Linked DNA regions of Saccharomyces cerevisiae S288C. The gene in region 1 interacts genetically with each later gene. Each region holds a gene or a part of one and is shown on either strand. Other genes may lie near its edges.

Region 1 (4,446 bases):
AGAAAACATTTCTTACAATACATTGATTGGTGCACAAAACAAAGAAACCGGTGAAGTCAACAAGGCTTATGACCTTGACGGAACTGAATATGATATTCCTGGTTTGATGATGAAATGGAAATCAGACGGTAGACCATGGACCGTGATAGCGGAACATAACTATGGTGAAGGTTCCGCAAGAGAGCATGCTGCTTTGTCACCAAGATTTTTAGGCGGAGAGATTCTTTTAGTTAAGTCTTTTGCAAGAATTCATGAGACAAACTTGAAGAAACAAGGTGTGTTGCCATTGACTTTTGCCAACGAATCTGACTATGATAAAATATCAAGCGGAGATGTTTTAGAAACGTTGAACCTAGTTGACATGATTGCTAAGGATGGTAATAACGGTGGTGAAATTGATGTTAAAATTACTAAACCAAACGGTGAATCGTTCACCATCAAGGCAAAACATACTATGTCTAAAGATCAAATCGATTTTTTCAAAGCTGGTTCAGCAATCAATTATATTGGTAATATACGAAGAAACGAATAAATTCTGAAGAGATATTAGCTAAAAATTAAGAGTCCGATTTAATAGTCATAAGCTAGTTTACACAATTCTATAGACTCTGCATATAGACGGTGCAAATAACCTACCTATTTATTTATTTATTTACTATAAAAAACGTAATATTGTTTGATATATAATATTATACACGAGATCTCGACTGCTTCAACTACGGCTTAACTCAAGGGTGGGGGGTATTTTGTTGTCGTATATGCAATATGTATGTGTTAAAAAGATACAATTATGTAAGTTACCACCTTTGTTTCATTTCATTCATTACTTGTAAACCTTGTAAACGTTCTTCGTACAATGCAGCTAGCCTGCTAACCTTGTTGCTTGCTTTAATATCTGAATATCCCTTTTGAGAGAATTTATCTGCTGTCTTTGAAGTAGTTTCATTTTTCTTCTTCTTTTCTTGTAGTTCTTTGTCGAACTTCTTAATCTTCGCGTTTTGGACGAGGGTTAAACTTTCAAACTGTTGTACGAATATATCTGTTTCCACAGAATTTTTATCCTTTGCTGGCTCGTCCTTAACCATTTCTTTGATATTATCTGATATCGTTAAATCGGTGCTGCTGTTACTCAATGGAAGCGAGTCTGCTGATGGAGTCTTCGTCGGTGAGGATAATGTATCTGTAGAAGAAGAAGCTAATGCCAAATCTGTATTAGAATTGGAAGTTAGAGACAGTTGTGGTCGTGTAACTGCCTTAATAGGAAGTGGAGGTTTGGCATTGAATGATGGGGATGAAACATTTCTGCTTGAAGACTTAGGTTTCAAGACTGGTGTATTTTGTAATGCGACAGGTGTGTACGTTGGAGACGTAACAGATCTTTGTGGACTAGGGCTTCGACTTCTAGGAAGGGTTAAGCAGCCTAGTTCACTGTATCTGGTTGGCGACGACTTCCTTGGCTTAGGCAAAACAGGGATAGTAGAAGACGATGATACGGATGAAGGAGGTGATGATATTTCCTTCGCGATTTCGGGGAAAAAGTCCAGTAAATTTTTAATATATCTCGACCCAATAGCTAAACGATCATTAGTCATCATGGAAAGTTTTTCCTTACATAACGCCGGAGTTAAAGCTTTACTTAGGGTCCTTGAATCATGTTTAGTCGATTCACCATGCGCTATGATCCTATTAAAAAAAGGAATTATGACCATAAAGAGGTCCTGGTATTGGTTGAATTTAATAATTTTGCGGAATGTTTCACTTGTGAACTTTAGATCATCAACAATTGGTAACGGAATTAATTCAATTGGGATTAGAGGTTTGGCTTTATTCTTAATGAAGTAATTCAACCACACGGATGCCAAAGAATAAATATCCCATTGAGATAAATCAATGTAGTTGTTTCTTTTGATAATATCCAAAAAAATGTTTACCTTTTTATAGTTTCCCGGCTTCTGGAATATCAATTCACACAACAGAGCGTCATTCTGTAATTTCTTGAAAATTTTATCGAATACTAACTGCCTATACTGTCTTATTGCCAGAGGGGTCAATCTGTTATAATATTCCTCCGGGACATTTATATGTTCGCGTATCTGGTAATCATATAAGTACACGTTCAACGATATTCTAAGTCGCGTAATATCTATTAGCTCGGATAAAGAAGTCAGGTCCAAGACATGAACTAAACTTGGAAAATCATGCTGACTATCTTTTGAGTCCAAGAAGTTAAAGTTCATAGCGTTTGAAATTACTTGATAGACCGACCTAACGAAGAATGACTCATGAACAATAAAAATCTTTTGTAAATAGAACTTGGTCTCTTTGGGTAACTTTGCAAACATTTTAATACCGTAAACCCAGCTTATTTTTCTCTGGGAAAACCCAGATGAAAAAATCACCAGTGAATATGGTGCCTGTGGCAATTTCATTACCAATCGATCCATGAGGGCATTAATAAGCAAGTCATAAACTTGCTTATCGCCAATTTCATCAGATGCTGGCAAATAAGTCGAATCAAAGACATAAATTGCGTGACCAGAGTTAGGATCAACTGAATAAGATCTAAAAAATATGTTATTAACGTTGATATCTATCATCCTGGCCTTCTTTCACGCTACCAATAGTATTATCCAGTAGGGCCATATCCTCGAGAATTTCACTTTCTATATACAAAATAACATCAACATGAAAAAACGCCAAAATACGTACGCCGTTAATAGTGATACATGTGCTCAATTACGGTGCATCATCAACCTTTACATACTTCTAGCTAACTTTGATTTTCATGAGGCTTATTTTTTACTTTTCTTTAACCTTGTCTCTCCCACAGCTCTAATTTTACGCTTTTTGCCCTTACTATCTCCTCCTTTTTGCTTACCTTGGTCGGATACTATCTTTTCTTCTTCATTTGTCGGCTTGATACTATCGAATAACTTAATACCAGTTTGTACTCTTCGCAGCCTCATCTGTTCTAAATCTAGAGAGCCTTCGAAGATTTCTGTGTCTTCAGGGATAGAAAATTTTGCCACTTGAGTAAATTTATCCCATGGAATGGCTGCAAATTGTATTTTGCACAACTCTACGAGCTTATCATGTTCCCGGTCTTTATCTTTCTCAAATTCCCAATACTGTGTTCTCTCAAAACAATTATCTAAAATGGTTCTCTTACTTTTCTTGATTTCTTGACCAGTAAAAGAATATACTCGCTTGTACTGGGCGACAAAATCAGTGAATGTCTTATGTAGCGGATGTGAGCTGTTCATAAAGTTTAATCTGGCTTCACCATCCTTTGAAATCATCTGTTCAACAATACTTTTATCCTTTGCATAGTAGCGTGCTGTCAATTTGATTACTTCCATGTCTCTTCGGGATATTCCAGTATCATATTGAGAGAACAGAAAATCCGGCGGCCTTGCTATCTCTCGCTCACTCTTTCTGTCATTATCTTCACCGCTGACAGTGTCTGTTGGCTCATTCATGAGTTTGGTGTAGTATTCATGGAGTGGGTCATCTTTCTTGATGAATGAGAATCTCTCATCTTCTAGCAGTTTGTTCTCAAACTCAACACCATGCTGCTTTATGTAATTTACTGTGGTTTTAATGTCCTCTTTCAGCTGGGTATCTTCTGGTTCCATTTATACAACTGCAAATTATTGCTGTTAGTTTTACGCTTTACCTTATTTCTTCCTGTATTTAAGTGTTTCAAGGCTAACTTTTGCCGAAATATTTCGTTGAAGGAAGGTTCTTATTTTATCAAAAAATGGTCAACAGACAAACAATAGAAAAACCAAAAGAAAACAAAAGCTTTTGAGGAAATCGGTAAAATGGATGATCTGCTAAAAGTTCCCGAGATTGTAACCAATATTGCCTCATATTTATCTACTGTAGATTATCTGAGTTTTCAACAAGTGAATAAACGGGTTTATGCAATCATTAACGGCAAAAATGATTCAAAGTATTGGTCATTGAAATTGACTAGAATGGGTCTCCAACAGGTGCATTCAAATGAAGAAGAAGAAATTACGTTGCTGGATGAAAATGATAATCAAAATTCCCTTCGCATCTTCGAAATATACAAATCTTTCACTGCTCAAAATTCTAAAAAAATCTTTGTGAAATTTTACCGTTGTTATAACTCATACGCTAGGAAGCTATATAATAATAATCTAGCAAATTTCTTTCCTACTTCATATTCCAACGATCCGTTGAAACAAACAAGAATTCTAAATTTTATCAAAAAGTACAATTTCTCGAATAAAAATGATATAGAAACATTTACTAGGATTGAAACTAATTTCAACATTCTTAGGGAAATCTTCATTAATTCTGTTCTCAAAGAGTCAGAATTGAATTACCAGTCTAATAATTTAGCTGCCGTCGCTCGTTTCATGAAAATTTTATTGATATCTAATGAGGAAAGCAATGCTATCGAATTTTTCAAGTCAA
Region 2 (4,157 bases), on another chromosome or scaffold:
ACCAAAGTTGTTCCTGAAGCAAACCGATAAATTGTACCAGCTACCTAACAAATTGAATGAATTTAACATCAACATTCCCACGGCGAAAAGTGTTTACAAGCCATTGATATTGTTGTATTCAATATGCCAATTTATGGCACATTCCCCCATTGCTGCAAAGATTTTGATTTTCGTTAAATCAAATGAATCGTCTATCAGATTAAGCAAGTTACTACAACTTATCTGTGAATCTCGCTCACAATCCAGCGTATTGAAAAACCTTCAAAATTTGGCGGTGAGTATTAATTCTGTCAATTCAAACAACTCCAAAGCAGAAAATAAAAAAATTGTTGCGAACTTCTCGCATCACTCGGAAAGCGCAGGCATTACCATCTTAATTACTACCGATATCATGTCCCGTGGTATTGATATTAACGATATCACTCAAGTAATAAACTATGACCCACCAATGTCTTCTCAACAATATGTCCATCGTGTTGGTAGAACAGCAAGAGCTAACGAACTTGGTTCCGCTTATAACTTACTAGTAGGTAGAGGTGAAAGAACGTTTTTCGATGACTTAAACAAAGATCTAGATAGAGACGGTAAATCTGTCCAGCCATTAGAACTCGATTTTACCCTATTGGAATCTGATTCTGAACTATATACTTCGTCTCTAGAAAGTTTGAAAAACTATCACAATAACACCGCACAAGCTTAATTTCTCACTTTCCACCTTCGCATCCATTCATTTATAACATTCAAACATTTTTTTTTTTAGTCTCATTCTAATAACTCCTGAGTATAGTAATATTAATATGTATGTATTGATGGGTATGTAACTGTAAAATTATATTCGGTCTATGTCTATTGTAGTTTCACACGTTGGAATGCTCGTTTGAATGCACTTGTCAATGGCTAACCTTAACATCAATTCGTCATCGTCGGAGCCTCCTTTCATTGTTATCTTGATCAGTACCACATAAAGCGTAAAATTCACTTTGCTTATTACTATATCATCGTAATTTAGGATGTATCTGGATTTAAACTCACTTAATCTCTCGATTTGGTCCTTGATCATGTTCTTAATGGTTGTTGGATTTTCAGTGAAACCTGCAGAATTCAAAAACCCAGTTTTCCGTATCTTTGTATTCTTTGTTGCTATAGGTAGTGAGCTCATTGATCTTGGTCGTACAGATGGTTTTTCTTTAGCAGCTTTAGACTCGACTTGTTGAGTATGGGCGGTCGTATCAGTGCTGTCATTATTATTGAATAACGCTGAATTGGATAAAGATGTGGTGGAAAATCCCATTAGTAACACTGTCGAGGTCCACCGTGCTATAGTCAGCCCATGCCATAGAATTAAACTCGAAATAACCAAAGTAGCAAGGTAATCGGATATACTCGATAACAGATCCAATAGTAGGGGATAAATGAATAGGTATGCTGTATAAGTGATGGTAATAATCGGGTTCTTCGTCTTTAAATTACTGTATTTGTTAGCATAAAACGTCTTATAAAGTGATAACGTCGATAACACTAAATTGATCATTAGTATGCTATACCATAAGGTAATATTCTCGTTTTGTGAATCATTGGCATTGGCAATGTGGGAATGAGGAATTTGCTCATTAATTTCATCGTGATCATGGTTATTCGTCAAAGAACTACCAGATTCTACAAAGAGGACTATGAATTCTTCAATTATATGGAATAAAAGGTCCAGCCCAACAAAGCATAACGAAACGGCAAGCGCAAAACTTAGTAGAACGTCTATTCTATTTAACCCGAATGGAAATGTGATAGTGCCTGTAAACCATACCTGGAACTGAGACAAATTTTCCACAAATATGATTACCAGCGAACCGATGATATCGTAAGTAATAAAATGCGATAGTGTAATAAAATTACTCCATGAGTACAGGTGTCCGACTTGGAAAGTAATCAGACATGCAAAGATTTGTAGAGCGGCAATAGATAACTGAATATAAGCCTTTGGCCATGGCAAATTTGACAGCAAATCATTGAAATCTGGAATGGGAAGAGATTTGGCAATGTTCAAAGGAATTTTCACCTCAGGCTCTTGAAAAAAATTCATGGATACAGAGGAATGCTTATAACGATGCCCCTTACGAAATGAGGTCCTTGATGCAGCTGAAGAGGGTGGTGTCTGTTGATGCGGTTGCAGCGTTGATGTCGTAAAATTAAAGGGAGAATCCAAGGTCATAGAAGACCTCTTACTGCTGCCAGCATCGGGGGAAATGCCTCTTACCGGTGATCTTGTTCTGGGAGGAGGCGGCACCAGCTTTGGTGCTGGTATATATTTGAGTGATTGCCTTCGTCCTTCGTTGCCTTTTCCCTTCATCAAAGCAGCTTCATTGATATTAGCATTACTAGAAGCGTTTTCACCAAAAGTGAACGAAGGATTGTAGATGATACTAGAACTGGAATTGTTACCTTCCTTGGCAGAATAAAATAGGGAACTGGGCCTAGGTGATGCAAAAAATGTCCTGTTTTGGGATGGTATACCGTCTACATTCCCGACAGCGTTCATATTGGACAAAGAAAACGATGAAGCATCGGAATCATTCAATTTAGGAGTCTGGAAAGCAACTTCCGGAGACAAATTGTCCTCCTCTTGTATAGCGTTCATTTGCGGCGTCTCCATAGCTCTTTCCCTATTCTATAATCTCGCTCACAAGTCACTAAATATTCACTTTTTCTCTCTTAGTAACAAAAATACCTTCAAGGTTCATCATTTTCAGTAATGAATATTCTTGATATTACGCAATAGGACACTTGTGGAAAACTTTTTGAGGTTGCGTTACCCGCGCTGAAATTCGAGAACAATAAAGATCATCATCTCTCATTTTAGCTACATTATAACATAAGAAGGTGCATTTAGTTATCTTATGTGGACTAGGGTATGACAAACATGGCTGCCAAGAATCAGTTCAAAGGAAGCAGCTTCACACTAGCGCAGCTAATCGAAGAAGTCGGACGTAACGGAGGAAAAAAGCCTGTGTTCCAGTATAAGGTACCACGGTCGATACGATGGGCTTCAACTGCTCTAGCTGTAGTGTTTCTCACATATGGCGCTGCATACACTGATATGTCGTGGAGAACTGCTCGAGAAGTGTACGGAAACGCTACTGAGGAAGAAAAACACAGCCCGTGGTTCAAGTGCAAAACTTTTGGGCCTGTGGCTTTAGGGGTTTTGCCTGTGATCCTCGCTGCTGCCACGAAACACGTAACGTCAAGACTAGTCACAGAAATGAAATATCTGCCACCGCTCAAGAATAGTACGGTGCCACGGTGTCAATTGACTCGACGCACTTACTTGTTAGGAAGACCAGTTTCTATCACGAGGGAGATCAATGAACTGTCTAAAAATAAGGCCACCAAGATCTTCACAGGAGTAGGTTCTCAAGGTATGGAGGATAAGGCCACCTTTGTTTTCTTCACAGTGGATGAAAAAGCACCCTCATTTTTCAATAAATTTTACATTTTCTCGAGATCTGGTAGCGTTGTGAAGAATGACGCCAGGATCTTGGACTGCTTTTTCAACAGTGTGGCAGAAAATAAGCTATTGAACAGGTCAATATTAACTCAGATCCTTTCACATACGTCTGCCAAGACCCTATTTCACTCGGGGAATTCTAGATCATCCATCAAGAATATCGTGAAGCCCAAATAGGTACGGACATCTACGTAAGAATGCATGTAAATAATAATCGAATAAAAGAACAATTAAACACTTGTATATGCACGCTATATCTACAAGAATCCAAACAGTCTCAAGATGTAGTCGACTGCCAAGGCGTACGTAAAGTAAAGTCCGGTGTTGATATTTGCATTAAAATACTTCCAGCAGTTTTTAGGATTGTCAAGATCCACTTTCTTTATCATGCTGAAGAGTCTATAAGCGAAGACTCCTAGTCCACCAATGAACCCAGGCCCCCATAACAACCCACTGTTCAAGCCGGCGACAGCTAACAGTGCGATTTGAGACGCGGACATGGCCTTCATGATAGACTTTGTGCGTGGACCCCAAGCCAAAGCGGTAGACTTGATTCCAGCCTTGATGTCAAACTTTTTATCCTGGTGTGCGTATATAGTATCGTAAGTCATACACCACAAGTAACTGCTCAGGTACAAAGGTATCATTGTAGGCCAGC

Evidence for each region.
Region 2: mutations in ECM25 (region 1) and ZRG17 together harm fitness more than expected from each alone (negative genetic interaction), as found in Saccharomyces cerevisiae (2 studies listed by BioGRID).

What each region holds. Positions count from the first base shown.
Region 1 is NC_001142.9:52,530-56,975, reverse strand, and holds ECM25 (Ecm25p), read right to left. Parts: upstream 2,598-4,446; coding exon 798-2,597; downstream 1-797. Other genes in the region: aconitate hydratase ACO2, read left to right, coding at 1-532; PRP21 (Prp21p), read right to left, coding at 2,793-3,635; RCY1 (Rcy1p), read left to right, coding at 3,825-4,446. UniProt on the Saccharomyces cerevisiae protein: May be involved in cell wall organization and biogenesis.
Region 2 is NC_001146.8:696,785-700,941, forward strand, and holds ZRG17 (Zn(2+) transporter ZRG17), read right to left. Parts: upstream 2,648-4,157; coding exon 830-2,647; downstream 1-829. Other genes in the region: putative ATP-dependent RNA helicase DBP6, read left to right, coding at 1-700; MRX15 (Mrx15p), read left to right, coding at 2,906-3,676; COQ2 (4-hydroxybenzoate octaprenyltransferase), read right to left, coding at 3,757-4,157.